2 linked regions of the Macaca fascicularis genome follow. The protein of the gene in region 1 interacts with the protein of each later gene in a biochemical or structural test. Links are inferred from orthologs where the notes say so. Each region holds a gene or a part of one and is shown on either strand. Other genes may lie near its edges. The genes, in order: NMUR1 and NMU.

The links.
Region 2: the proteins of NMUR1 (region 1) and NMU form a complex in vitro, tested with the Homo sapiens proteins (2 studies listed by BioGRID). The link is inferred for Macaca fascicularis from reciprocal best matches to the Homo sapiens genes NMUR1 and NMU.

Annotation. Positions count from the first base shown.
Region 1 is NC_088386.1:127,446,406-127,458,272, reverse strand, and holds the start of NMUR1 (neuromedin-U receptor 1), read left to right. Parts: upstream 1-5,092; 5' UTR 5,093-5,200; coding exon 5,201-5,203; intron 5,204-6,557; coding exon 6,558-7,452; intron 7,453-10,139; coding exon 10,140-10,522; 3' UTR 10,523-11,867. UniProt on the Homo sapiens protein: Receptor for the neuromedin-U and neuromedin-S neuropeptides.
Region 2 is NC_088379.1:78,258,791-78,270,713, forward strand, and holds the start of NMU (neuromedin-U), read left to right. Parts: upstream 1-4,831; 5' UTR 4,832-4,961; coding exon 4,962-5,070; intron 5,071-5,161; exon of another isoform or gene 5,162-5,543; intron 5,544-10,840; coding exon 10,841-10,899; intron 10,900-11,923.

The sequences.
Region 1 (11,867 bases):
CGCACCACTGCACTCCAGCCTGGGTGACAGACCGAGACCCTCTCTCAAAAAACAAAACAACAACAACAACAAAAAACCATTCAACAGGAACATCTTCTGGCACCCTGTCTTTCAGTCTTCACATACCTGGCCTTCTCTTAGCTTTAGGCCAACCGTGCCCGTGCTGGTGCCCGCTCCTCCATCACACACCCTCAGTGCACCTGCCTTTGGTCCCCTTTCCCTGTATCCAACAGTTGCTGTTGATACGCCCAGCACTGTTTACTTACCTCCTGATTCAGTCTTTATTCCTAAGAACACCCCAACCCTAGAAAGACACATTCCGTATGCATGCACCACTGTCATTTCATTTCCACTTTCCGGTTCTTTGATATTATTTCCCCCAATTTAGTGTTATTCCCTTTGTAATGCTGACCTTCCTCGCACTCTGAATATTTACTGCTTTAGTATCTATTGGCTGTGGCAGCAGCCTGCCTTGGGAACAGGCGATAATGGAGAAGGTTTGGAAAAGAGTAATTGAATTGACTAAAAGTGGCCTGCTTTTTAGTATCACGATGTGCCGGTGATTCTAATCATTGTCGGTGATAAACTATTACTCCCGCCAGGCGGACTGCCGCCTTAACACCTACTGCCTGGTAGGCCACTGCCTAGTGGACAGGAGGAACTAATGGTATTCATAGAACACTTCGAAACTCAACCAAAACAGAAACATTTAGTGGTAAAGGCGCATTATGTCTGCAACCGACTCTCATAGTCCCCCCCAAAATATAGGAATCCTTTGTACTATTCTTTCAACTTTCCTGTAGGTCTGAAATAATGCTAATATAAAAGGTTAAAAAGGTCAGGACCGGGCGCGGTGGTTCACACCTGTAATCCCAGCACTTTGGGAGGCCAAGGTGGATGCATGACCTGAGGTCAGGAGTTCAAAACCAGCCTGACCAACATAGTGAAACCATGTCTCTACCAAAAATACAAAATTAGCCGGGTGTGGTGGCATGCACCTGTAATCTCAACTACTTGGGAGGTTGAGGCAGGAGAATTGCTTAAACTGGAGAGGTGGAGGTTGCAGTGAGCTGAGATTGCACCATTGCACTCCAGCCTGGGCAACAAGAGTGAAATTCCGTCTGAGAAAAAAAAAAAAAAAAAAAAAAAAAGTTAAAAGGGAAAAGAAGACAAAACTACTAAATTAGCGCAAACTGCTGCAGACTAACAAGTTCCTGAGTCCTGATGCCGGTCAGCTGTTGCTGGGGGAGAAACTTTTGTTCTTAAACCTCCCTCTGATCGTGACTATGATATGAGCATTTATAAATGGGAAGACCCCAAGAGGAGCTTCTGTAACACACCCAAGTGTGGTTTGTTAGCTGGGAAGGCTGGTGGACTTGAGGGTGGCCTTTATTGCTTGGAGGAGTAGGTGCCACGAGCACCCTGTGGGCTCACAGTAAGATCTGGCCCCAGTCCAGGATGGCATGAGGGACACACAGGCCCTAGACATGAGAGACCCAGGCTTTTTCTGGCCTTCTCACTGTGTGACTTGAACATGTCCTCCCTTTGGCCACAAGCGGACGTTGGGGCCTGGTACACAGGCTGAGCCCCTGGGAGGAGGTGGCTGGTGCCCTGTGCCCAGCACCCTTCCTGAAGCCTGCGGGCTGGCTGTCTCTGGGAGAGCTCAGGAACAGGTCTCACAGCCCTCAGGGGGCAAGGGACTAGACAATCCCCAGTGGTCCCCTCGAGGAGCAAGAGAGGCAGGGGCGACACTCCCCTGAGGTCCCCTCCACTGCTGGTCCCCACCTGGCTGCAGGGCCCCGGCTGCCTGCACTGTGGCCGGACTCCCTGCAAGCCTGTATGTTCCTTTCCACTGGGACTCAGCTCTCCTGCCCGGGGTGCTGGGGACCTTGCTCTTCCAAACCCTGCTAAGGACAGCTCCCACCCCAGCCCTGCCTCCCAGCAGCTTTCTAGTGTCTTCCAGAGAATTCCAGGCTCTTCAACCCTGCACTGAGTGCTTAAACCCACATTATCCCTCTTAATCTTCATGGTATCCCTGAAGGACAGGGGCTATTTTTGTGTTTACAGGCAAGGAAGCTGAGGCCTGAAGTGCAAAGTGGCTTATCTGAGGCCACACTGGCAGAACATGGATTCTCACTCTGGCCTCACAGCCTCCAAAGCCTGTACTCACTGTGTTCTCTGCCTGGCTTGACCATCTCTCCCACCAGTTTCTATGAGCAGACTAGGGCTGGTGGCTCAGGGAGCATGGGTGGATGATCACACACAAGCCATGTGGCTCCCTGAGGTGCAATCCCAGCCCCCAAGTTGGGAACCCCATCACCTGAGGAGCCCAGACCTTCCTCCTCTCTCTCCTGGCCATGGCCAGGCTGACCCCGCAGAGCAGAGCTGGGTGGGGAGCTCTCTGACCTTGGGAGGTGCCCAGACGGGTACAGTGACTCCCCCTTGCTTCGGATATTTACTGTTCTGGTTCTCCATGTTTGCCCGATGACGCCCAGTGATGGGGGGTCCTGGGTGGTCCCCACTGCCCAGGCTGCAGAACAGTGCCTCCCTTGCGTCCAGAGCTATAGTGTCCCCAAGCTCATCTCATCCTCCCTGCCTCCCCTCTGTAGACAGTAAAGTGGGATGGGTGTGGGGAGTTTCTAGGGGAACCATGGGCTTGCCAGGAGCTGCTGGTCACCCCAAGGCTGAGAAGCTTCTGGTTTAAACCTGCCCTGGGTTTAAGCAGCCCCTCTTGGCTCTCAGGGAATCAGCAGGGCAAGGAGGGGATACGGAGCTACTCACATGCCTCTGGCCCCATGAGTCCTGCACATGCCTGGGACTTGGGTGGTATCTCAGCAGCTCCTGGAGGTCCTGGTGGCCCCCCCCAAGTGCATTTGCTGTTGTGTAGAGTTGGGTCCTTGACCCCCTCATCTGGGCAGACGCCCACCAGCCAAGCTTAGAAGATGGATGTGTACACCCAGAAAACCGGGGGACGCCACCTCAGGACGGAGCAGGAGCAGCAGGATGTCATACATTTCTGATGGGACACTACCGTGGTGGCCTTGAGCTCAGGCCCAGAGACCAGGACCCCTAGGGCCCTCTGCACAGTGGCAGAAGTGAGGGCCACAGCCATTGTGGCCACTGAGCCTCTCCTTTTTGGGGGCTGCTCTTTAGCGTTTGATGGCTGCTAGTGCTGTGCGAATGATGCAGCCTGCTGTAGGAAATTTCTGACTGGCAAGAGTCACTCTGCCTCTGCAAGGCTGGGTGGGTCCTTCCCCATCCCCTCCAGGGCCGTGTGCACCAAAGGGTCCACAGGGACTTTTGGACTGCTCAGAGTGTGTGCAGAATGGTATGTGTGTATGTGTGTGTGCGGTGGTATGTGCAGAGTGATGTGTGCATGCATGTGTGTGTACATGCATGTGCGTGTGTGTGCGTGTGTGTGCGTGTGTGTGTTCCAGTGAAAGGCTGGGGTCCAAATGCTCATCACTTGCTATGAGCAGCCTGTGATGCCACAGTGGGCTCTGTTGCTGAGTGATGTCATCCCTCCTTGCCCAGACCCGTTATTGAGAATTTCTCCTGGACTAGCTCATCCGGGGCTGAATAGTTAATTCTCAGGGCACCACAGAATCCTTTCTCCCAAGGCCCTGGGGACCATGTGCCCCTGCACTTCCCACAACCGTCCCCTGCCTGGGACTCTGTTTACATGTGGAGTTCGTGGGAAGGCCGGCCTGGTGCTGGCGCCTTGAGGGCCTAACTCCCATCCCCAAGCCCAGACAGTGACTTATGGAATTGGGCGGCAGTGGGGAGGAGAAGGGTGCAGGAAAGCTGGGGGAAGAAGGAGCCTCCCACCACTAAATGATGACAATCCTACCCCACATTTCTTGATTGCTGGCCATGTGCCAGCCTCTGTGCTGAATCTTGACGCTCAGTGTCTCATGTCATCCTCACAATAGTGGCGATGGTGGTTAGCGCATTCTACAGGAAGGGGAACTGAGGCACAGAGCTTGGGAGCTCACAGTGGCTCTCGGGGTCCTGCGGCTTTGTAGCCTCTCCTGGCGCTCCTCAAAGTGTGATTCCTGGGTATGGGCTCTCCAGAGAGCGTTGGTCAGACATGAGGATTTCTGGGCCTTGCCCAGACTAAGGAGACCAAACTCTGGGCAAAGGCCCCGGAACCAGCATTTTAGTCTGCGTGATCAGTCGTTTCTAGGGTCCCTAGAAGTTCCTGATGAAACAGCTTCCAGCTAAGGAGCTGACTGCAGGACTAGGGAGTGGGGGCAGGTGAGGCACTGGGATTTGCATGTGGGCAGTGTGGGGGAGCAGGAGGCTGTGGCTGGGCATCCTTAGCCTTCCCTAAATTCCCTCCATCCTTGTTATACCCCCACCCTTTGTACAGTGATGGGGGCAGAAGAACATTTGAACGGATAAGGGGGACAGTATTTGGGGCTGAGGACCATGGTGAGGAGAGGGTGGCCCAGGGAGGCAGGTGAGGAGTGGGGGGGTCCACCACCAGGCTAGACTTGGGTGTGCTCTTTTTCAGAAGGCAGCGGGGGGCCCCAAGGAAGGGTTTTGAGGCGTGATGGTCATTGGTGGCTGTGGGAGGATGGACTACGAGGAGAATGGGGGCTCCTGCCCAGTCCCGCAGGGCCGAGCCCCTGGACTTAGGGCCTGGAGGCCCCGAAGGGAGCGGCGGGTGAGAGGGGCTGCGGAGGCCGCAATCGTGGGCCCTGGGACGGAAGAAGAGGGCTGGAGCCTGGGAGGATGAACCCCACCGGCGCATGTCGACTTCAAGGGGCTAGTGGGCCGTCCCTGTCCTTGGAGGTGGGTCTGAATGTGGGGCAGGAGGAGCTGGAGGCTGCAGGGACACTGTGACACAGGGTTATGCTAAACTCAGCACGCTAGAGAGCGGGAACCGCATGTGAGCCCCAGGTCTCTCGGGCTCCTCCTCTGCAGCTCTCTAAGGCTCGGTTTTCTCATCTGTAAAATGGGTTCGCGAGATAACGCTGCTTGTGAAGACGTCGCCTGCGACAGCCGCGTACTTCCCGGTGCGGGAGGGGGCGCCCCCCGGGCTGCAGGGACTGCACTGCCCCCTGGCGGCGTTCCCGGTCGGACAGGCGGGGCGTAGTGGGGCTGGGACAGCCGTCAGTCAGTCCACCCGCTCCCGCGCCGCGTCTGTGTCAGTCGCTCAGAGGGTGGACGCCGGGGTCTCGCGGGCCGCAGGCCGATGGTAGGTGCGCAGGCGCCGGCGTGGGCTAGGGCGCGGCGGCTGGGCCGGGGCTCGGTGCGGGCAGGGTCGTCCTAGAGCGGGAAGAGTCCGAGGACTCCGTCGGGGCGACCCCCGCCCCCGCCACTGGGGAGCCTCGCAACTTCTCGGGTCATTTGTGTCTTCCGGCCAGGGGCGCCACGGGGCTGCGGGCTTGCGACCCTTCCTCGAGGACCGGGGCGCCTCCCTCGAGGACCAGGGTGCCTCCCTTGAACCCAGGCTGGCGCCTGCGCGTTCTCAACTGGTCCCCGAGGCTCTCGCGCTACTGTGCGGCAGGGGTGAGGACGGGCGGGAGGAACGGTGTGGGGCTCAATAGAGGAGAGGGAACCCCAGAACTGGCAGTGCCAAGGGCGTCAAATATGGAGACTGAACAGTTCAGGTGACAGAAAACAGAAAAAAGAATCAACTTGTGGATCAAGTTTAATTTGTAGTGTTTAGCCTTGACACTCCCTCACTTGACCCTCATAGTGACTGGGTCCCCGGAGCAAGGGGGTGATCCCCGTGCCCTTCCGTATGCCAGGCAGGCCCTGTGTTAATATCTTTCATGGATTAAACTCCCTGGATCCTCCTAATAGAGAAACAGCCTCAGAGAGGTTACCTCGCTGAACATCACACAGCTTGGAACTGGGGATGCTGGATTCGAATCCAGGCAGTTGCTTCTAGAGCGCTTGCTCTTGAAGACCCTGCAATACCAGGCATTGTGCCCATTTTACAGATGCCCAAACGAGTGCCTCATCTAGCATCATTGCTTGAAAGGGGAGACACCCAAGATGTGTCATTTATTCAAAAGTTCCAATAGATCCTGAAATTTAAAATCAAAACCCCACGTGTTTTTTTTTTTAATGTAGATTTTTACTTTTTGTTTGTTTGTTAGTTTTGAGACAGGGTATTTCTCTGTTGCCCAGGCTGGAGTCCAGCGGCACGATCTCGGCTCACTGCAACCTCTGTCTCCTGGGTTCAAACGATTCTCCCACCTCAGCCTCCCAAGTAGAATTACAGGCGTGTGCTACCACACCCGGCTAATTTTTGTATTGTTAGTAGAGGTGGGGTTTCACCATATTGGCCAGGCTGGTCTTGAACTCCTGACCTCAAGTGATCCACCCGCCTTGACCTCCCAAAGTATTGGGATTACAGGTGTGAGCCACCGCACCAAGCTTATTTTCACATCTCTGACTTGTGGATGGAAGAGTTTTTTCTCTCAGTGGTGCCTAAGATAATGGTCATCTTAGTGCTAATGTCACCTTTGGCTTGATGAGTTAAGACAGAGCCAGCATTCCCTGAATGACCTTTCTGGGCATTTCTCCCCTCTGTTCCACAGACTCCTCCTTGCCTCAATTGCTCTGTCCTCCCTGGAGACCTGTACCCAGGGGATGCAAGGAGCCCCATGGCTTGCAATGGCAGTGCGGCCAGGGGGCACTTTGACCCTGAGGACTTGAACCTGACCGATGAGGCACTGAGATTAAAGTACCTGGGGCCCCGGCAGACACAGCTGTTCATGCCCATCTGTGTCATGTACCTGCTGATCTTCACGGTGGGCGCTGTGGGCAATGGGCTGACCTGTCTGGTCATCCTGCGCCACAAGGCCATGCGCACGCCCACCAACTACTACCTCTTCAGCCTGGCCGTGTCAGACCTGCTGGTGCTGCTGGTGGGCCTGCCCCTGGAGCTCTATGAGATGTGGCACAACTACCCCTTCCTGCTGGGTGCTGGTGGCTGCTATTTCCGCACACTGCTGTTCGAGATGGTCTGCCTGGCCTCAGTGCTCAACGTCACTGCCCTGAGCGTGGAACGCTATGTGGCCGTGGTGCACCCGCTCCAGGCCAGGTCCATGGTGACACAGGCCCACGTGCGCCGAGTGCTTGGGGCTGTCTGGGGTCTTGCCATCCTCTGCTCCCTGCCCAACACCAGCCTGCACGGCATCCAGCAGCTGTATGTGCCCTGCCGGGGCCCAGTGCCAGACTCAGATCTTTGCACGCTGGTCCGCCCACGGGCCCTCTACAACCTGGCGGTGCAGATCACTGCGCTGCTCTTCTTCTGCCTGCCCATGGCTGTCATCAGCGTGCTCTACCTGCTCATTGGGCTGCGACTGCGGCGGGAGAGGCTACTGCTCATGCAGGAGGCTAAGGGCAGGGGCTCTGCAGCAGCCATGTCCAGAGACACCTGCAGGCTCCAGCGGCGCGATCGGGGCCGGAGACAAGTGACCAAGATGCTGTGTAAGTGTCACGGCTGGGAAGAGGGGCTGAGCCAGGTACTGGGGCTCCTGGGGTCTGGGAGAAGGGGCTGAGTGTCTGGGTTTACAGGGGGCGAGGAACTCCTCTAGTCTCGTGTGTGTGTGCGTGTGCGTGTGTACATGTGTGCATGTGTCTGAGTTGCACTCTTGTGTACTCTTTTAGATTACCCCACTAGAATCTTACACCAAAAATACCTATTAATGGCTAAATGTAAGACTGACTGTGTAATTTATGGAGTCCAGTGCAAAATGAAAATTCAAGGTCCCTTTTTCAAAAATGAGTAAGACAGCAACAATACAGCATTAAACCAAGCCCAGGACCCTGCTAAGCTTGGGGCCCTGACTCTGGAACCAAAACATAGAAAGGGCAGGGCATGTGATTGGGCTCCAGGATGACAGAAAATGGGATCTGGACCCTCCAGGTCTCAGGTCTCTCATCGTCGTCTTCTTTTTTTTTTTGAGACAGGGTCTTGCTCTGTCACCCAGGCAGTACAGTGGTGTGACCACGGCTCACTGCAGCCTCAACCTCCCAGGCTCAAGCGATCCTTCTACCTCACTCAGCCTAAGTAGCTGGGGCTACAGGCATGTGCCACCATGCCCAGCTAATTTTTTCATTTTTGTAGAGACAGGGTCTCGCTATGTTGCCAAAGTGGGTCTTGAACTCCTGGGCTCAAGTGATCCTCCCACCTCAGCCTCCCAAAGTGCTGGGATTACAGGCATAAGCCATTGCGCCCGGCTCTTCTTGGTTATTAACGTGTCTTGGCCTTGTTCTTCTCGGCAGCAGCCTGCGAGGCATGGCCACCGGCACGTCGTCGTCTTTCCTGAGGAACTGCCCTCTTCCCTTAGAGATGAGTGAAAAGTCCCAAGAAGGATTCTGATGGGTGGGGCCTAGGTCATGCCCCACCTCCTGCGCCAGAGTGGCAGGATGCCAAGGTGCACAGCCCCCAGTGGAACTACATAGTGGGATCTGGGGGAGCAAAGTCCCCCAAAGAAGGGGAGGAGGGTGTTGGAGAGGCCAGGTGTCGAATTTCCCCCATGCCATGTCTGCCGTTCCCTGGGAACCACAGGAGTGACCATTTATCTAAGGAGCCCCAGCCCGAGGCGAGTCTGTAAAGGCCACGCTCAAGGCACAGGGGATCAGGCTGGAGATGTGCAGATTAGGGGAGGCCAATGTACTGGGATGAGGCTCTGGATCTCTGTGGCCTGGACCTGGCTCTTTTTCAAAAGCTGTGGCCCTGGGGAAGCAAGGCAGACCGATGCTAAGCCGATCAAAGACCCGCCCCATCCACCTACCTGCATCCCAGCTCAGCCCCACCTCAGCAGAGCCTGAATCAGGCCAGTGGGGTGAGCCAGGTCAGCAGAGGGCCACAGAGACTTTGGACAGAGCCAGCTAACTGGGGGCCGCCCCATCCCCAGAGTGACTCGCTCCTCTCGCCCCTCAGGCACCGTCCCAGAGCCCAGTCTTCGTGCAGCTCCTGAGGTGGGGCTGACCCCAGAGCTGTGTGCATGCCTCCCAGCTCTGCACTGTGGAACCGTGCTCAGCACCGGCTGCCCGCTGCCGCCCTGCCTCCTGCCTGCTACCCCGTCCCCTCCCTGAAAACATGGGTGGGCAGAGTCTGCAGTAGGTGCTCAGCTTGGATGGCTCACCCCTGGAAGGTGGGCTTCCTGCTTGCTGGCCTTCTCTCTTCCTTCCCTCCCTCCCTTGTCCACTGTCCAGTGGCCCTCTGTGCACCAGGCCAGGTGCCAGGGAGGTTGTGAGCAACGTCCTTTTTGAAATCTGGAATTATGAGGAAAACCATGCTAGGGTATGATGGGGAAGACACTGCCCAGGAAAGCTAGTGAGTTGCAGCAGCAAACCCAAGAAACAAGAAACAAAAATCATGGCTGGCCCTGTGGCAGAAACCCAAGGAAGGGCATAGTTGGGTAAGAACAGGCAGCAGGGATTTGGGGAGAAAGAGTGAAGGTTTGGCCAAATGGTCCTACCTTTTGTTAGGGAGGGGGTGGGCAAGGGCCTGGCAAGTAAGAGGGGGGCAGGTTAGTGCAGGGCGAGACATTCAGATGGGCCTTGGGGAGCTGGGGGCTGGAGTTGAAAAGGCCAGGGGCCAAGGCAGGCAGTGTGTATGTGTGTGCATGTGTGTGTCTGTGTGTGCATATGTGTGTGCATGCATGTGTGTGTGTCTGTGTGTGCATGCATGTGTGTGTCTCATGTGTCTCACTCTCCCTGGTCCCATGACCTCCGGTCTGCTGCTCTCTGAGCACCCATTCTTCTTCTTTTCTGTACTTATGCATCAGCAAGCACGGTCCCCAAGTGGGCATCCAGAGTGGCCCTAGCCCCACAGCCTGTAGCACGCCAGTAGCTCACCCAATTTCATACTCCAGGGTGAGAATCTGATTGGGCCGGCTGGGCTCAGGTGTCCATGCCTGGTCCAGTCGGCTGTGGCCAGAGGCAGGGACATGCCCCACTGCCTATAGTCAGTGACTGTGGTGAAGGCAGCCTCTCTGAGAGGCATGGCCAGAACAGGCAAATTTCCAGAAACTTCCACCTGGGTGATAGGTGAGGGTGGCCTGTGGGATAGGAGAGGATGTGAGAATGGGTGACCCAAACTGAAGTCTGGGAAGGCAGCTGAGGGGCTCCGGTGGACACTCTGCCTCCCTTGTCTGTCCCTGCAGTTGTCCTGGTTGTGGTGTTTGGCATCTGCTGGGCCCCGTTCCACACCGACCGCGTCATGTGGAGCATCGTGTCACAGTGGACAGACGGCCTGCACCTGGCCTTTCAGCATGTGCATGTCATCTCCGGCATCTTCTTCTACCTCGGCTCGGCGGCCAACCCCGTGCTCTACAGCCTCATGTCCAGCCGCTTCCGAGAGACATTCCAGGAGGCCCTGTGCCTCGGGGCCCACTGCCACCGCCTCAGACCCCGCCACAGCTCCCACAGCCTCAGCAGGGTGACCACAGGCAGCACCCTGTGTGACGTAGGCTCCCCAGGCAGCAGGGTCCACCCCCTGGCTGGGGACGATGGCCCAGAGGGGCAGCAAGAGACTGATTTATCCTGAGTGGAGCCTCAAAGTGGCTTCACCTGGAGAGGCCAGAGGGTCACCTGGAGCTGGGGAGACATATCTGCCTTCCTCTGCAGGGATGCCTTCACGTACTGTCCCTAGTTCAGCCTAGAAACTCTGACCAGCACCTCAGTTTCCCTCCAAGGGAAATAGCAGGAGGAAGGATCCCTGATTGCTGAGGACTCACACTGACCAGATGCCACACCGTGCGCTTCTTATCCCTCCACTGCCACTCCCCCAGTTCAAGTCCTTCCCCTGCAGAAATATCACAGTTAGTTGGAGCTCAGCAGTCCTCTCTCTGGGGACTCCCTGCCAGTTTCCGAAACGGTCCCACAGGGTCCTTGCTGTCCTTCCCAGTTCCTGTTCAGGTTCTGGCAGGGGCCCAGGGATCCAGGGGACCTGGTTCCAGTCTCAGCCCTGCTGTCGCCACCTTGTCATGTGCCATCAAGCATATCAGCCTACCTTTCTTTTTTTTTGAGATGGAGTCTCACTCTGTCGCCCAGGCTAGAGTGCAGTGGTGCGATTTTGGCTCACTGCAACCTCCGCCTCCCGGGTTCAAGCGATTCTCCTGCCTCAGCCTCCCGAGTAGCTGGGACTACAGGCAAGCCCCAGCACTCCCAGCTAATTTTTTTTTAATTTTTAGTAGAGACAGGGTTTTACCATGTTGGCCAGGCTGGTCTCAAACTCTTGACTTCAGGTAATCCGCCCACCTCGGCCTCCCAAAGTCCTGGGATTACAGGCATGAGCCACTGCGCCCGGCCAATCAGTCCACCTTTCTAGGCCTCAGTTCCTTGCCAGAAAAATGAAAGAGGCGCTGGCTTTCCACAGTGTCGTGCTTTGGCACTTTAGCTGTGGTTTTCTTTCTCTGTGTGTGTAAGGCACCGCTTGTAATGAAACCAACAATACCCTCAGATTGACAGGGCGGAAATTATTATCTGCATCTTTATCAACCCCAAGCCCTACTTCCTCCCTGACCTCCACATGCCCTCCCCAACCTCTCCCAGCACAAGTAGGGCAGAGCCGGCATGGATGCTGACCCCACCACCACAGCCCACCTCCGTCCTCACGTACGTGCAGACTGGCTTGGGGGTCCAGTGAGCAGAGTATTGGACTTGGCTGGCCAGTGGGTCTCAGAGCAAGAGACATGGCCAACCAAGGGCAAGGAGCGACCCTGTGGAGGGTTCTGCCGAACTCAATGCAGTGAGAAGAGGGACAGGGGAGGGATAGGGACAAGTAATCCTTGAAACTGAGACCCATCCTGAATCCCTGCAGGCCAAGTCAGTGCTCAGCCAGGACTTAGTTCATGGAGGAAGCTTGTCCTGCTGCAGTCCCTGAGTCTTGT
Region 2 (11,923 bases), on another chromosome or scaffold:
AATAGGTGATCTAGACTTCAATCTTTTTTCAAAGTTGAAATATTATTCACATGATAAAATTCATCCTTTTAGAGTGTATAATTCAATGGTTTCTAGTCTATTCACAAGGCTGTGCAACTGTTACTACTAATTCCAGAACATCTTCATCACCCCAAAAGGAAACCATTACACTTAGAAGCAGTCACTCTCACCAATCCCTGAAAACCACTAATCTATTTTCTGTCTCCATGGAGTTGCTTATTCTAGACATTACACGTAAATGGAATCATACAATATGTGGCCTTTTGTGTCTGGCTTCTTTTGCTTGGGATAAGTGTTTTCAAGTTTCACACAGGTTGCAGCATATATCAGTACTTTGTTCCTTTTGGCCATGGCATGAGCTTCTGTAGTATCCTCTTACCTGGTCTCCCTGCTTCTATTCAGGTCCCCCAGAGCCTGATCCTCACTGAAGCTGGAGTGATCTTTTTCAAATATAATTCAGATCATCTCACTCCTGTTCTTTAAATCCCCCAAAGGCTTCCCATTTTACTTAGAGAAAAATCTGAACTCATTATGGCCTCTAAGACTCATCAATGATCAAGACCCTACCTTGCCTACTCACTCCGTGCCAGCTACACTGGCTTCCTTCTGCTCTCTAAACCTTTGAGACTTGTTTCTGCCTCAGGACCTTTGCACTTGATGGCCCCTCTGTCTGGGGTTCCTTTTTCCCAGTTCTTCCCATAACTCATTCCTTCTCATCATTCAGGCCTCCCATAACCCCTCCTCAGAGACGCATGCCTAGATGATCCTGGCTCAAGTATCTTTCCCCCAACTGCCAGCCACCTTCTATTATTTCATTACCCCGGCTTAATTTCTTTTATAGCATTTGCTACTAGCTGAAATTGCTAATTTTAAAATTTACTTTCTTATTATCTGACTCTCTTGAAAATCTGCCAACTCCAAGGCAGAGACATCACTGCTATATCCCAAGCTCCCAGAATGGAGCCCAGTAGGTGTTCGATTAATATTTGAAGGACTTCATGATTTCACCTTGCCTAGAACGCTTACATCTTCCAGATCTTGCCTCTACTCTTAGTTCCTGAAGCTGGATATTTTTGCTTATTACTAGACTTCCCTATTGCCAACTGACTGTATATGTGTATATATGTATGTATATATGTATTCATTCATTCATTCATTCATCCACTCATAGAGACACAGTTTCACTCTATTTCCCAGGCTGGAGTGCAGTGGCACAATCAGAGCTCACTGCAACCTTAAATTCCTGGGCTCAAGCAATCCACCTGCCTCAGCCTCCTGAGTAGCTAGAACTACAGGTGCATGCCATTGCATCCAACTAAATTTTCTTTTTATTTTTTGTAGAGATGACGTTTCATTATGTTGCCCTGGCCAGTCTCAGACTCCTGGCCACAAGTGATCCTCCTACCTTAGCCTCCCAAAGCTCTAGGATTACAGGCATGAAATACCACTAAGCTGCCTGACTGGTTTTTATCTATTGCTGACTCTCTCTTTCTCCTGATATCCCACTCTCCTCCCCTTCTAATCCTTTCCATGACAACTTTTCTAGACATCTCTATCACAAGCTAGTAGGTCTTGCTAATCTGCAGGCCCTTGACCAATTGAACTTTCATTGTTACAGATTGTCAGCAGAAAGCAAAGTCCAGTTGCCAATTTGTGGTGAAGAATGCAAGAGATAATAGGTGAGAGGAATCAGCATGGCACTAAGAATCAAACTTTCAATCTGATACAGAATAAATGGAAATGCTCTCAAAGCTCGTATATATGGAATACAAGCTCAAATGAATGTGAATTTAGAAGTACAAATTGGAATGTCTGTAACTAAATTATCAAGGGACCACTGCAGTGATCTGGGATTTCACTTCTTTGCAATGCTTGGACAAAGGGGTACCTGTAGAATCAGCTTCCATTTAGCCATCTGTTCCCAGAGGAATCCAGTGCCTATCGGCCCCCACTTTTCTACTCCCCTATCTATCTTCTGTTATCATTCAAGTCACATAATGGCATGACCTTCAAGCCTGCAAGTCTTTTCCTGAACATTTCTTCAAAAATAACAACTCATATTAAAAATAATGGAAGAAAAGCCATAAATAGGGAGAAAATATTTGCCACATATTTAATCAAACAAATGTTCCCAAATACATAAAGCATTGCTATAATGATTAAGAAAAAAGTTAACAACCCAATGGGGGAAAATGGGCGAAATAAATTTTCACTGAGATATTTCACAGAAGAGGAAGCAATAATGGCCAATAATTTGTGGAAAATTACTCAACCTCTTTTAGTAAACTGGGATTCCAAATTAAGTCCACAATAAAAAGTCACACTAGCCAGGCTCAGCAGCTTATATCTATAGTCCCAACACTTTGGGAGGCTGAGGCAGGGGGATTACCTGAGGTCAAGCATTCAAAGACCAGCCTGGCCAATGTGGTGAAACTTCATCTTTACTAAAAATACAAAAATTAGCCGGGTGTGGTGGTGCACACCTGTAGTCCCAACTAGGAGACTGAGACACGAGGATCCCTTGAACTGGGAGGGAGAGGTTGGAGTGAGCCAAGATCGTGCCACTGCACTCCAGCCTGGGTAACAGAGTGAGACTCCATCTCAAAAAACAAGAAGGAAAAAAAAAAAAAAGGAAAGAAGTCACACTCACCATATTGACAAAGGTTTCTGCATGAATGAATAGCCATGGAAACGTCATTCATGGTTGGTGGGAATGTAAATTGGTATAACACTTTGGAAAACAGTGTAAAACAGAGATTAGCTAGGTCATCCCCTATGACCTAATGACTCCACTCCTGGGAACATTCCTCAGAAAACTCTTGCACGTGTACACTAGGGGGCATGTACAAGAACGTTCTAAGCAGGCTGGTTCATGCAAGGAAAAAAAAAAAAAAACTTTAATACACAAGTTGTTTATTTTGCTGACTTGTTGGGGATATAAAAAACATTAAGCCCACTGTTTCAGGCTTCTCTGCTCTGGCTGACATTTCACGCTCACACTGGCTGCTGGGACTGGTGATCTTTCAGTGCACCTCTGGGAGACACCAGGAAGAATGTCATAGGGAAGCAGAGCCATGTTCACCTGCTTGCATCCGTAGGTCATTTACATCCTTTGTGCTCTTTTTTTTCTTTTTTTACTACTTTGGGAATAAATCAAAGTACAAGAATCTTGAATCAAATATTTTCTCACCCATCCCTGAACTTGGACCAGACCCTATAATCCAGCCTTTCTTACACGCTTCCTGTGTATAAAGAATTTAAAGAAGGTGGCCATTATTTTTTTACCTAATCTGTCAGGGTTTTACTCCTGCCTCTCTTCGTATTTCTGACAGAGCACTATCCCAATCTGCCTTGTAATTCAGCTATTTGAGTAAGGGTTTAGGGTCCTTTACCAAGTTATAACTTCCTTAGGAGAGAAAGATCCTACTGTCACTAAATCTTGTATCCCCAAAGGTCAGGTCTTGCTTACAGTAGGTTGAGCTGTGTGTGCCTAATACATTAAAACTCTGTATTTAGGGAGAAGTATCTTGGTGGAGTAGAATAGCCAGTGGCTGCCTCACGTGCTGACAGCCCTGAGCAGATTGTTTAATCCCTCTTGGCATCATAAATGAGAATTTCAGTACTTCTACATCCCAGAGATGCCATGAATATTAAATAAAATAACACGAGAAAATGCCTGACGCAAAAGTGCCCCTTCAGAAATGTTAATGTACTTCCTGCCCTTTCCTCGGCGTTCCTCGCCTTTCAAAGGGAGGTCAAATAAGACCGGTTTTCACACACTGGGACCTATGGGGGGGGGGTGGGGTGCGGGGACAGGGGGAGCATCAGGAAAAATAGCTAATGCATTCTGGGCTTAATTCCTAGGTGATAGGTTGATAGGTACAGCAAACCACTATGGAACACGTTTAGCTATGGGACAAACCGGCACATCCTGCGCATGTACCCCGGAACTTGAAATAATAATAATAAAGACGAGGTTTCCCTCTTTCTGTAGAAGGAAATTAGGACTGTATTAGCTGGTGTCCTGGAAGAGGCTGCTTCCTGAACGTTTCCAATCAAGGAAAGTATAGAGATGGAAAGAGGGAGTCAGGTCACGGTAGAAATCAGGATGCAATAGCAGCAGAAATGCATAGAAAAAGGAGTTTCCTTAGGCTTGGAAATCCGTAGGATAACCAGCGCTCCAGAGCTGTTAGAAATGTGTGTGGTCAAGCCCCAGCAGTCCTTTCTTCTTTATCTTTTATTAACAGGCAACTGCATTTCCCTAAGGGGTCTGTGATTTTGCAGGAATTTGGGGGAGGGTAGATAGCATCAACATCACCGTTGAACCAGCACTGCCCTGATATGCACCAGGCATTGAGCTTGGACCTGGGGATAAACCGGGGAACAAAACAGAGGCGCTTCCACAGAGGTGCGTACTAGGGGCTGCCGGAGCTCTAGCAGAGGTGAAGGAGAAAGCGCGTCCCACGCAGACCCAGGAAACCAGACAGCGTCGCCACTACCAAGTTTAAAAACTCAGACGGCCTGGTTTGCCATCTCCATTGTGTTCCCACTCCAGTCCTTCCAAAGGTGTGAATGGTGCATTATTTAAAGTCCATTCTCTTTATCCCAGAGCGAAAATGCGTAGTACTTGGGTCAGAAACTCAGGCCAGAGGGCTCGGGTCCCCCTGCAGGGTGGGGCGCGGGCAGGCAGTGGGGCGGGTGACGCGGGGTAGGCCGGGGGTGGCAGGCGGCGAGGTGACGTGCGGCGGGGACTGCGCAGCCCAGCCCACGTGTGCGCGAGATTTAAAAGTTGTCGGCGCGTCGGGCGCTCAGTTCTGTGTGTGGGCCCCGCGAGCGGCGCTCCAGGGCCGCTGGAGGCACTGCCAGGGCACCAGGTGGAGCACCAGCTCGGCGTGGCGCAGCGCAGGGTCCCTAGCAGCGAGCCTCCCGCAGCCGCCGAGATGCTGCGAACAGCGAGCTGCCCCCCAAGGTCGCCCCCCGGACAGGGGGCCGCGGCGTCCACGCTCCTGCTGCTGCTGCTGCTCGCCTGCTGCGCGGGCGCCTGCAGAGGTAAGACGGCCCCGCACCCGGCCGCCGCCACACCATGCGCGCCTCTCTCTGGCTCCACTCACCACTCTCTCCCGCCCTTTCTTTCACCTTCACTTGGTTTCTGGGACTTCTCTTGGCTTCTCTGGTGCCGCGGGATTTCCCGCCTCCCAGGCACAGATCGCCCCACTAGAGCAACTAGCAACATAGGAGCAAGGGGCCCGGCCGGGGCCGAAATCCCCAGGCCCCGCGCGTTGATGCCCAGCGGAGACCCTGCGCTGGGCCGACTGCGATAGGTGGAGACTGGTAGGGCTCCCTCATCCTCGGGATTTCCAGCCCCGCTGGCCCGTGGAAACGGGTATTAAAATAGTGAACGTTAAAATGCCTTCCCTTTGATTGCAATTATTGAAGGGATTGATGGTCGAAGCAAAACAAGAGTGAGCCTGATACTTCGTCCGCTGAGGCAAGGTAAACTTGGCGAGTGCTCAGCCTGTTTGGTGAGTGAGCTCGTGTTATGTTGACATAAACCTGAGCGGTACAACGGGCCCCACGCGCTAACCGCTTAGAAGGGGGAAGGAGTGGGCTTTGTGTTTTATCGGTTTTCAGGCACTAGATCAGGAAAAGGAATAGAGAACTTCTCATCACACAAAGTTGAAGAGGCAAATGTGCAAGCCAGGCTTTCAGGCAGTGCGACAGCTACAGCAAGTGATGGCAGATGTGATTTGATAACAATAGGGACTTCCTGAGCTTGGCTTAGAGGAAAGAAATAGGAAACGCAAGGTCAGGGAAGGAGATCGGAAGCTTTGGAGACATAGCCGAGCAGAATGCAAACGTTCTGGAGAGATTTGCATGGAGAGATCATTTTCTGGGTTCTCCAAGGGTTACAGCTTACGTTTGCAGGTGGCTTATGGGCACCATTATTCATCCCCAAGTCAGGGGTCCCTCCATTGTCAACCACTGCCTGGCTACATCCATAAATTTTCTAGCTTGGCAGGAGGTTCTCTTAGCTTCCCTCTGCTCTCCAGTCAGTGAGGTAAAAGTGGCAGACTGTTGTGTCATTGTTCAGAACGTTGGGTACTTAAAATCACAACTGCAGAGCCTGTAGTCCAGCCCTCAATTAGAGATGGGGAAATAGAGACCGCTATGCTTTTCCTAATCTATTTATTTTTACTGTTCTCCTCTCATTGTTTTGATTTTGTCCTTTCCTGAGGCATTGGAGGGGTGCGTGTGTGTGTGTGTGTGTGTGTGTGTGTGTGTGTGTGTGTGAGAGAGAGAGAGAGAGAGAGAGAGAGAGAGAGAGAGAGACTCCCCTACTTGAAAAGCAAGATAATTTGGCTTTGAAATCCAGGCAGTCAGAAGCTAGCAAACCCAAACGTTCTCCACATAGCCAGTAGTGATACATTACTTTCTCCCAAGGTAAATGTTCATCTTTTAGGATTTTAAATATATTATTGGTAACTTTGGATGGTAATCTTTATCTGCCTTCTTAAGGATGCAGATAAGCATAGTTTGAAAAGTGACTTTGCTATGTAAAGAAAATGGATTTCTATGCATTTGCATGCTATATGCTTGCAGTGAATTTGGCATCAGTGAATTTTGCATGCAGAGAAATTTGCATCAGAGATAACTGCCTTGGGATGGGTTGGAGAATTTCAGACTGCTGGTGATTGAACAGTATAGAAAGCAGCAGCTGGTTCCTAAAAGAGATGAGTCTTGGTTTTTATTTCCAAAAGAGCATATCTGCTGACATACCAATCGTCTCGTAGATAACCCCAATATTTTTCAAGCAAAAGAATGAGATACTTCCTTTACTACCCAGAAGCCCCCTAGATTGCCCTTTTGCATCTTCATTCCCCTTCAGACCTGCTATGAATACTAAAAAGTGAATTGTATCTCTTTAAAAATGTGGTAGGATGGGGAGAGGGTGAATAGCCATGTGATCTGTCCGAGTCCTGAGTCCCTAAAGATGGCACCGAGGGGGACGTGACATACATAAGCAAAACCCAGAGATTATCTACCATGGTCAATCATCATGCAAGATGCAACTGGATGCCTCAAAAAACAACACAACAAATGTTGCAATGCTAGAGGAAAATAAAAGTGTCATTAAATGCAGCATCCTTGGAAAAAAAAAGATAAAGGGTCAGCCACAGATTCAGTGGATGGAAACAATTTACTATTCAGAGCACACTAGTAAAATAAAGAAGGAAAATAAACACACTAGTAAAATAAAAAAAGATAAAGGGTCATGCGAAGATAAAGGGTCAGCCACAGATTCAGTGGATGGAAACAATTTACTATTCAGAGCACACTAGTAAAATAAAGAAGGAAACTTATATAAGAGGAACACATTTTGGATATCTGCAACAAACTGTTACTTGATTTTGCCTGTGACAATAAGTTATCAAATGGTCAAGACTAAGTTAAGGAGTGTCTTTTCCTGCCCAGGCCTCTTGCTCATAGAATAATTCTTAACGTTCACTTGACAGTAAAGATTTCTCACTTCCCAAACCCACAGTGAAGTACATACTCGCCATGAGAAAAGAAAATTGGCACTACTTTTAGAATAATCAGGTCTGTCTTTCTTATACATAATGTATTTACGGATGTACAAGTTTTTATTTTCAGCAGAGTATACTGTATAATACTGAAGATTTCACTTTGCTAAATAGTAATGAAGTATAAATATCTTGAAGTTTCTCACTGAAACTTATCAAAAACAGTACAGTTATGATACAGGCACTGTCTCTGAAAACACGGAAAGTGATCTAAGTACAGTATTGCTCTTTGACAGTGTGAAGTCCATATCCAGAATGAAAATCACATTGACTCTAATTAACACATAGACAAAGGAAAGAATAACTCCCCCTTACGTTTGGGTTCAGTCATAGGATATTAGTCGTCAGTCTTTTTCTTTTCGTGAGACGGAGTCTCGCTCTGTCGCCCAGGCTGGAGTGCAGTGGCCTCATCTGGGCTCACTGCAAGCTCCGCCTCTTGGGTTCACCCCATTCTCCAGCCTCAGCCTCCCGAATAGCTGTAACTACAGGTGCCTGCCACCATGCCCGGCTAATTTTCTTGTATTTTTAGTGGAGATGGGGTTTCATCGTGTTAGCCAGGATGGTCTTGATCTTCGGACCTCATGATCCGCCCGTCTCGTCCTCCCAAAGTGTTGGGATTACAGGCGTGAACCACTGTGCCTGGCCAGGATATTAGTCGTTTTCTACAAATCATAGAATTTTAAAAAAATTTTTGTCTCTTCTTATCTTTTTTTTTTAACCATGAAACTGTGTTTACATGTTTTTAGAAGGGCCACAAAATGTCCTTTTTCTATTTTATGGAAGTGCCTGGGGCTAAGTTAGGCATAGTGGCCTTTCTAAGTGGCCCATGCGAGCTTGGGAATTGGAAGGAAGCAAACTCTCCATGGTCCTGATGAGGCGGTGTGTCTGAACACAGTGAAGTTGAGGTGGAAGCTTCCACTTTTACTGGGGGCCAGGGATGGTCAAAAGTATAAGAATAAAAAATAGCATTATTTAAACAGGAATGCTCTGTCAAACAGAATCTCATTAAGTGAGATCACCAGGTGTTTTATATGGAAATTTGAGAAGCACAGCTTTATCCCTTCCTGAAAACAATGAGCTCCGGGTAGGATCTACCAGACAACTGTGACTTTGGGATATATGTTTATGGTAGGGTGAGAAATAGATATTTGAGAAGTGTGTAAGATTGTTTACCCACATTCAATAGTTGTCCCATGAGAGGGGACTCTGTCAGGTTCTGAAATAAAGCCACTCTTTTATGGACTGCATGACCTCTCTAAGTTGTTTCTAATGCTTAGTGCCACAGAAAATGTAGTTGATTACTGTCATTATTATTGCTGTTATCAGAACTTAAATGAAATAACAGTAAAAACTTGTATGAATTCAAGGCAAGAGTTGCCTAAAACATGATAGAATTAGGAAAAAAAAATCTGTCAGGATATGCAATCAACCAGACTGATTTTCTGAGTTTTTAGTGCACCTGTCATCCAAGAAACATACACTATACCCAATATGTAGTCTTTTATCCCCCAGCCTCCTCCTAGCCTCCCACCTCAGAGTCCCCAAAGTCCATTACATCACTCTATGTCTTATGTCCTCATAGCTTAGCTCCCACTTATAAGTGATAACATATGGTATTTAGTTTCCCATTCACTTCAAATAATGGCCTCCAGCTCCATCCAAGTTGCTGCAAAAGACATTACTTGGTTCCTTTTTATGGCTGAGAGATAGTCCATGGTGTATATATACACCACATTTTCTTTATCCACTTGTTGGTCAATAAGAACATAGGTTGTTTCCATATCTTTGCAGTTGCAAATTTTGCTGCTATAAACATGTGTGCGCATGTGTCTTTTTCATATAATGACTTCTTTTCCTTTGGATGGATACCTTGGATGGATACCAGTAGTGGGATTGCTGGATCAACCCATAGATCTACTTTTGGTTCTTTAAGGAATTTCCATACTGTTTTCCATAGTGGTTGTACTAGTTTACATTCCCACCAGTAGTGTAAAAGTGTACCCTTTTTACACATCCATGCCAACATCTATTGTTTTATGACTTTTTAATTATGGCTGTTCTTGCAGGAGTAAGGTATTAACTTGTGGTTTTAATTTGCATTTCCCTGATGATTAGTGATGCTGAGCATTTTTTTTCATATGTTTGCTGGCTCTTTGTATATCTTCTTTTGAGAAATGTCTATTCATGTTCTTTGCCAACTTTTTGATGGGATTGTTTTTTTCTTGCTGATTTGAGTTCCTCGTAGATTCTGGATACTAGTCCTTTGTTGGATGCATAGTTTGCATATATTTTCTCCTACTCTGTGGGTTCTCTGTTTACTCTGCTGATTATTTCTTTTGCTGTGCAGAAGCTTTTTAGTTTAATTAGGTCCCATTTATTTATTTTAGTTTTTGTTGCTTTTGCTTTTGGGGTTTTAGTCACAAATTCTTCGCCTAAGCCAATGTCCAAAAGCGTTTTTCCAATGGACCTTCTAGAATTTTTATTGTCTCAAGTCTTATATTTAAGTCCTTGATATGTCTCAAGTTGATTTTTAAGGTGAGAGATAAGGATCCACTTTCATTCTTCTGTATGTGGCTTGTCAGTTTTCCTAGCACCATTTATTGAATAAGGGTGTACTTTCTCCAATTTATGTTTTTGTATACTTTATTGAAGAATAGTTGGTTTTAAGTATTTGGCTTTATTTCTTTGTTCTCTATTCTTTTCCATTGGTCTAAATGCCTATTTTTATACCAGTACCATACAGTTTTGGTAACTATAGCCTTATAGTGTAATTTGAAGTCCAGTAATGTGATGCCTCCAGATGCATTCTTTTTGCTTAGTATTGCTTTGGCTATGTGGGCTCTTTTTGGTTTTATTTTAGGATTGTTTTTTCTAGTTCTGTAAAAAATGATGTTGATATTTTGATGGGAATTGCATTGAATCTGTAGATTGCTTTGGGCAGTATGATCATTTTCACAATATTCAGTCTTCCAATTAATGAGCATGAGGTGTGTTTCTATTTGTCTGTAGACATAAGTAATTCATTCTTGAGAGTAATATCTTTGTAATGTTATTAAGGTTTGTTTAGTAATTATGTCTCCTTGTACTAAATCTAATGCTGAAATATTTAGTTGAAATAGGTGGGTGATAATGTACAGTGAAAAATGAAGAAAGTGTCCAAGAAAGAATTATATATGGATATTTAATTTTAGAAGGAATGCTATAAAATTAACCTGTGGCTATAACTTTATTTTTAGGTGCTCCAATATCACCTCAAGGATTACAGCCTGCACAACAGCTACAGTTGTGGAATGAGGTAAGGAACTATCATCACACAAATTTGTAGAAACTTTACCCTTCTTTGAAATTATCATGTTAAAATCTATAATTGAGCTTTGGGAGAACTATGATTTTACCAATAATCTCATAATAAAACCCAGAATTACTATTTTTATTAAATAAAAGAGAAGGAAAGAAGAAAAGAAACAAAAATTTTGTAAATGGTTAACAGGGCAGAAACAAATGCCAATAACAGGATAAAATAGAATAATACAAGAACAGAGTAATTACAGTAAATGTGTATGTACTTAAAAGACAGAGGTTCTAAGATTGGATTTAAAAAATAGATCCAGATATATATTGTCTATCAGTATCACACTTAAAACAGAAAACAAAAAAAGACTAAGTATAAAAGGATGGACAATGATGTAGCAAGCAAATACAAACTGAAAGAGAATATATCTGATCAAATAGAATTCAAATAAATAAACCGTCATAACAGACAAATAAGGATCTTATATGTTAATAAAAGAAAACCAGAACAAGAAAATATAGACATCATTAATATAAACTAATAATGCAACCTTAAAATTTATTTAACAACTGATAGACCTTCAGGAAAAAAATAAAAACATTATAACTCAAAACGTATAAGCTACAGCTAAAACAGTAGCTAGAGAGAAATTTTAGCTTCATATGTGTTTATCAGGAGAGAAGAAAATTTAAAAACATTAATAAGCTAAGCATTCTGCTAAAAATGAGGTGAAAAAGAACAGGGAAAATTAGAAGAAACACGAAAGAAGTAAATAATAAAAATAAGCAGGGCGTGCTGGCTCATGCCTGTAATCCCAGCACTTTGGGGGGCCGAGGTGGGCGGATCACGAGATCAGGAGTTCGAGACCAGCCCAGTCAACATAGTAAAACCCCATCTACTAATAACACAAAAATTACCTGGACATGGTGGCACGTGCCTGTAATCCCAGCTACTTGGGAGGCTGGGAGGCGGAGGTTGCAGTGAGCCGAGATGGCACCACTGCACTCCAGCCTGGGCGGCAGAGTGA